2 linked regions of the Arabidopsis thaliana genome follow. The protein of the gene in region 1 interacts with the protein of each later gene in a pairwise test. Each region holds a gene or a part of one and is shown on either strand. Other genes may lie near its edges. The genes, in order: AT1G02040 and AT5G43540.

Region 1 (4,009 bases):
AAAGTCAAAAGTTCATAACTTGTAATGGCAACCACTCATTAATAACATATATGCGAGATAAAAATGACTCTTTTCTTGTAATCGTATTGAGAGAAATGACCCTTTCCTTGCAATCGGTGCTTAATTAAGAACCACCAAAATTATCAATTCCGTTGAGGCGTTGACTCATGTTCATGTGTTTTCAGTGTAGTAAGAGCCTTTTGATTATTAACATGATTAAAATATATATGGGCATATCACGAGAGTTATTTGATACGTGATATTCGTTTATTTATTTGATATTTTTCTTCTTTGTGATTTCTTAATTTCGAATTTACAATTTCTTTTCTGGAAAACTTCAAAATTATATCTCCTTCTTGATGGCTTAACAAGTAAATTATATCACTCTGTAAGATTACAAACATGAAATTAAAACATTTGCGCTTATATGAGCAAGGAGCCCTTGGTTATCTTACTTTATTCTCAACGTATATAATAATAAAAAATGATACAATTATCTATCTTGTATATTAACTAGTTGTGAAACTTAATTTCTTACTTATATCTTTGTATATATTGGACTAGAACTCCTTATGGCTCTCTAAATCTGCAGAAGACGCCAAGTGTAATTCATATAAATCCATAAACTCTATATATAAACTCATGCACTTAATTGTATATATGTAAAGAATATAAACGAATGAAAGTTAAAAGAATATAATTAGCAACTTAATTAAATTAGTCAGTCGTCAAGACCAATCACCACTTGCGAGTTTTAACCACGAAGATGAAGTAGCGTTGTGATTATTGCCACCACCATCTCTCTCGATCATCCCTACGCTCATGGCCGTTGGATCGACGGAATATTCTTGGCAAGCTAAGTTGAGATCGAGAGATGGTTGATCTAACGGCTGCGGTCTGCCGACGGAATGATGATGATCGTGGAGCGACGTCATACGAAGATAATTGGAAGGTGTTAGCCAATGGCATCGCTTGTGGCCTCCTAAGGCCTGTCCCGAAGAGAAGACGCGATGGCAGATGGTGCATTCGTGAGCGTTGGATCTCTTTCTTGCGATATGAGCCGTTGATTTGTCTTCCTCATCCTCCTCCTCATCTTCGTCCTCGTCGTTGTCGTCGTCGTCTTCTTTGTATTCCTCTTCCTCTTCCTCTTCTTTATCTTGAGAGGCAAAACAACCCTTCACTTTCTTGTGGCTTGCCCTGTGTCCACCCAATGCCTGATGCGACGTGAACACCTTCTTGCAAGCTTTGCATTGGAAAACCTGGGCGGTTTTTTGCTTTTTGACGGTTTTGCCCTTACCATGTCCATGTTGTTTATGCTGATCACCACCATGCGCATCCCCTGAATTGGACAACAAGACAAGACAGTTGGCAAGCTCTTCGTCTTCGTTTGGAGACAAGTTAAGATGATGATGCTGAGTGGACATCGATCTCTCCCTCTTCCACGGAGGACGACGTGACATGTTGTCCTCATCGTGTTGTCCACGACTGAACATTACGAAATCAATGCATGGTGAGTTCATGGCTCCATGCATGTGTGTGTTCAAAGTGTTTTGGTGTGAATTAAAAAGAAGAAAGCCCTTGTTTTTAGTGGAAGTAACGGGTTTGGTGTCTTCTTGTTCATGTGGTTCCAAGTAGCTAAGCACTTGCTTTAACGACACGTGGTGCAACTTTTGACTTTTTCCAACATTCCTAGTCACATGCATCTATTCTATATAGATGTTGTTTAACAAATAATACTCTCATTTCATGCTTACAATATGTTTATAACCCAAATGTAAATTATAACAATTAGGAAGAGGTGAGGCTGCGGATGAGAAGGCCTTCGAAGGTGATTCCAGGTCCGAAAGCTAAGCCAAGTCCCCACTCTTGTGCTGCGTCACCTTTCTTCTTCAGCTCATCTCTCATATACTCCATCACATACAGTATCGTGTTGCTGCTCACGTTCCCGTAATCCACCAACGCCCTTCTGCTGCTCTCCAGCTTCTCTTTCTCCAGCTTCAGTTTTGTCTCCAGACGGTTCAGAATCGCAGGTCCTCCTGGATGAACAGCCCAGAACATGTCATTGAACTCCATCGACTCATCGCCAGCCTTTCCCATCAGCTTCTTGCAGAACTCTTCTATGTTCTCCTCTATCTTCTGCGGGAGGTCTCGTCCAAGCTTGAAGTTTATGCCTTCCTCAGTCAACCTCCCCTCGATCACGTTCTGTGTCCCCGGCAAGAACTGCTGAACCGCATAGTGCAGCTCCATGAAAGGAGCTTCACACTCTCTCGGGTCAGCTCCGATGATCACAGCAGCTGCACCATCTCCAAACAGAGCAGCTCCAACTAGGTCGTACGGACGCGCTTTGTTTGGTGGCCGAAATCCGAGAATGGTGGTTTCAGAGGTTGTGAGCAGAACACGGCTTCCGGGGTTGTTCTCAGCAATGTCTTTGGCCACACGGAGGCCAGTCACACCTCCGTAGCATCCCAGAAAATACAGCATCACTCTGTTCACGTCATTCCTCAGGCCTAGCTTTGCTGAGAGGTAAAGGTCACCACCGGGTAAACGGATCTCGCTTGAGGAAACGTAGACAATGTGAGTGATGTCTTCCACTGGCCTTCCCCATTCCTTGATGCAACCTAAACTGGCTTCCAATGCCATTTCCACAACCGCCTCGTTTGCAATTTCAAGTCTTTGCTTGATTGTTGGTGAACCCTCTGTTGTTAGCTCAGGGTATTTAGCCAGTATCTCTCGCGTCAACACAGTGTATCGCGTCTTCACGGTTGTCGTTTTGCCTAAACAACAGCACAAAACATTAGAAAGCTTTCAGCATTTCACAAGAGAGCATAGCTGTCTGAAAAAAATATAAAGAGACTGAGGCTTACACAAGTGTTCCAGCTTTTCTTTGATAAACGCGTCATCACATTTGGTGTCTCGTAGAAATCCTTCCACTAGATTCTCCTGAGGAACGACTTGGCTTGGGAAGGCTTTGCCAAGAGCAAGCAGTGTTGCCTTTCCGGCATTTGCGACACGCCTTGTGGATTTGCTGCTTAGCTTCTCAACACCATTCATCCTAGAATTCGACATTTCTTTTCAAGCGCAGAAGGAAAAAACTCAATTAGATATTGGGAAGAAAGATGGTGGATGCAGAATATCAGCAAATGGCAAAGGATTATAAAGGAAGGGTTGAGGGTTTTCTTGGGGAGAGTTTGGTGCTGAAGAGTGAAGATCATGTAAAGAGAGAAACGGTTATTTTATTAGGGTTTGGTGATTCTTTGGCCTGTGTTGGTTAGAAATGCAAAAAACACCATGAAACCTATTTTCCCGGGATAAGTAATATAAGCCTAATCTACTTAGGAAATAGGTACCATGAAGGTGAAAGTTAGGAACAGAGAGTTGCAACGTCCATAGAGACCTGTAACAGACACGATGAATACAAACTTGCTTAATTGCTGAGGGCCAAAAATTTTACAATTGCCAATGGATAATTTTAGACACAGAATTGAAAACGGAACAAAGAGAGAGGATCCTGTTTACCAGAAACCAGATGCACGGTCTATCCTTCATTCTAATACAGAGCAATCATCTGATTCTCTCAATGTAGCCATCCTCTTTGACACAAACTGAAGTTCTTCCCACTTTCCAGCAGCCTCTAAGGCATTCCTCAAAACCACGTGGCAGCTAAGCTGTTGGTGGTTTCCTAGTTCTACTAATTCATTGTACAAACTAAACGCTTCAGAGTGTCTCTTATGCTTACAGAGTCCTTCTATGACCGTGTTGCATGTGTCGATATCTACCATTTGACTTTTTTCCAGACAAAACAGAACAAGTGTATGTGCATCAAGTAGTTTTCTATTCTCGCAGAGGTAACCAAGTAATTCCTCCATCTTAACCAAATACCCGTTATCATAAAGCAACCTAACAATCAGAAATGCCTTCTCTTTCTGTGCACTACTAAAAAGCAATCTGACAACCTGCGTTGAAAGATCAATGTTCTGTCTTATTCGTTTTTCCAACATTAGCGTTACCA
Region 2 (3,203 bases), on another chromosome or scaffold:
ATATGTCTAAACTCATAATCGGCGATTCCATCAATCTCAACCTCAATTCTTCTGATGATACTCTCTCTGACCATATCGAAATAGTAAACAAAAAAGTGCTTAGATGACTTTAAGCATCTAGATACCACTACAACCTCGTTGTTATGACTCTCTCCACTGCACAAAGATAGCTCCTTGTCACAAGGCACAACACAAGTCATGATGCTTGACTATTCTTCTTTCTCAACATCGTGTAGAATCCATACACGCAACTTAGATTCACAATAGGAGTCATAGCTTACACATGCTAATTTTCCTTTGTAATTTGTAAGGGTTGAATAACATGAGATTGCATTATAATCCTCTGGTGCTTGAATAAACATTATCTTCTCGGATCTAATATTAAATCTAGCTATCTTTGTATGTCCAACACCATAGTATATAGCACTATTGATGCAAATCCCACCTTCTAAGTAGGAGTAAGCATCTCCCGAGATCTCGATCTTTCTCCACGACGATGAGTGTGATGTTAGTGATAAAACCAGATGCTCTTGTTCTATAACGTATTGTCTATGGCCGTCGTCACACTTAAGGAACATCATCACACACAAAATTTTGTATTGATCATCGACAGGATCGTATCCGAGACGTGTGTAGATGTCTCTTCCGTTGGCTTTAACATGGGGCAATACCACCAAACCGCCAGTGGTGGGATTAAAAACCGCAATCCTAGAACCACGGGTGCAGCATATTAATCCGTTTACAGGGGACAGATTTTCTATTTGCCAAATTTTTTTATATATAGAATGCGAAGATCTGGACAATTAATTAATTATGGGACAGATTTCACTATGTTATGGAAAAAAACTATAATGAAAATAATATGATATAAGATAAAAGATTTATATATATCTCATAGATAGATCACAAAACATGCATAAATAAATACCCACCAAAAATATCTTACCTTGACATATTATAGTCTCATATACGCTTTCCTAGATTACATATATCAACCTCGAAAACCATATAATATACACCAAAAAAACGTATTATTATACATCTATAGAGGGTAAGAAGTTGATGATCATAAGCCAAGACGCAGCTCCAAATCGATTTCATTTCCTTCAACGACGACGTTTTCTCTCCTTGTAGCCATCGAGCCGATTCGTAAGTGTTGGATGTAGTTCGAGGTCGTCGTCCTCAACACGACGGAGTCTACTTGCTCGTAGCCTCCAAGGTCAGACGCCACGTGGAAACATCTATGAGTTTGCGAGAGTGCCACGTCAGCATCGTTTTGCACCTTGGCCTTGTTGAGACGGTCACGTCGATGGATGTTCATATGACCACCTAAAGCTTGTGCGTTTGTGAAACCTCTTTTGCAGAAAGTGCACTCGTACATTCGTCTCGTCACGGTGGAGACTGACGACGACGACGTACGACGGTGCCTGACTGCTCCGGTTTCTGATGACGTGGACGACGATGATCTCTCACACTCCATATATATATATATATATGTGTGTGTTGCCTCGATCGATCGAGGGATATATATTTTGAAGAAATATTGATACCCGAAATATAGGACTTTAAGGGAAGATGAAAGATGAAAGAGTTGTCAAATGTGTTGAGTGCATATAAGGATGGTTTATATGATAGAGGAAACAAAATTTATATATAAGACTAATAATACTTTTCTTGATGTGTGTTTATATGTTTGGAAGACATGATTTGGCTTTTTCTTTCTTCGTATATTTATGTACCAATTTTTTCTTATAACTATCACCGTATTTGAAGGATTTATTTATTTATTTATTCTCATGTATTATTTATATCTAGATTATAAATGTAGCCTATTATTAATTATTAACTTGCTAATAATAGAAAGTTTATATAGCTAAATCTAAGAGGCAAAATAAATTTATACCACTAGAAGGTATTGCTCCTCAAAAATTACGTTTAGACCATGTTATTCAATTGGTTCTCTAGTAAATCAGTGAAAAAATATATTTATTTTGTGAGTAGTGATGATCTCACAATTATCTAAAACTTTTACAGTTTTGTTTCCAACAAAAATACACATGTAGAATAAATTATAAGATTATGATTTTTTAATCAGTAAAACAATATTTACTATCGTCTCTAGTAGTTTTGTTTACAATACAATACTCGTATATAAACACAAAGCAACGAACATAAAACAAAATATATATCGAAAGAGACATAACAAATTAAAGATTTGATTATAAATCAGATAAAACCAATCCTCACATTAATCCAGTTAACTGAAATCCAAATCAACTTCAACTAAACTCTTCAATTAGTCCACAAAATTACAAGAAATGATGACAATTAAAAGGCAAGGGAGTGGTTTAAATCAATCGTGTTATTATATTTTAATTTATAAAATATTCCTTTTGTGTTTGTCTTGTAATAATCTAACCTTTTATCGCAAAACGTTTTTAAAAGTTAGGTCTCGATTGACTGCTTACTTTTTCTACTACAAAATATCACAACGATCATTTTTTACTAAAACAAAAACAATATTTTGATGAAAACGAATTATCATAATTCATAAGTCATAAACTTTCAAAAATTTATCAAAGAGATAAAGATAACATAGACATAATAGAGTACAAAACTAAACTTTAGTTTATGGGCTAAAAATAAATATTAGCTTAGGTGATCGTAAATAGTATTTTCTTGATTAAACAGCTCGAAAAAATGAAGATGTCATTTGATTGCAACTCGAGTACACTGATTCGTTTAATTACTGCCACATCATTGATTGATTACGTTACATGTACACCTAATCCGGTTTGTTTGGGTTTGGTCTGCTTTCCATCATTAGTTTAGAATCCTAGTTCCACAACATTCCGCAAAAAGCACCAGTGGTCTAGTGGCATGATAGTACCCTGCCACGGTACAGACCCGGGTTCAATTCCCGGCTGGTGCACTTTTTGTTACTTTAGTGATTTTTTTTTTCCTTTTTTCTTACATTACGTTTCCAGGCTGGATGTTCGTCTCTCTATATAATTTGGTTGCAACCTGCAAATATATTTGTATACACTAGTACTTTTTGATTCATGACTAGATTCATCGGATAGACGAAAATCGACAAAACCTAACATATTTGTTAAGTAGCTTATGTAGATTGTAGCTATATCATACTCATACAATATTTGCATAGGAAAAATCTGGCTTCTGAAATTTGATTATGTAGCTTT

What was found.
Region 2: the proteins of AT1G02040 (region 1) and AT5G43540 interact in a two-hybrid assay, tested with the Arabidopsis thaliana proteins (one large-scale study listed by BioGRID).

Annotation. Positions count from the first base shown.
Region 1 is NC_003070.9:357,376-361,384, forward strand, and holds AT1G02040 (C2H2-type zinc finger family protein), read right to left. Parts: upstream 1,704-4,009; coding exon 729-1,703; 3' UTR 531-728; downstream 1-530. Other genes in the region: LAP6 (Chalcone and stilbene synthase family protein), read right to left, coding at 1,789-2,774, 2,865-3,066; AT1G02060 (Tetratricopeptide repeat (TPR)-like superfamily protein), read right to left, coding at 3,543-4,009.
Region 2 is NC_003076.8:17,495,270-17,498,472, reverse strand, and holds AT5G43540 (C2H2 and C2HC zinc fingers superfamily protein), read right to left. Parts: upstream 1,619-3,203; 5' UTR 1,481-1,618; coding exon 1,067-1,480; 3' UTR 779-1,066; downstream 1-778. Other genes in the region: AT5G43550 (F-box associated ubiquitination effector family protein), read right to left, coding at 210-581.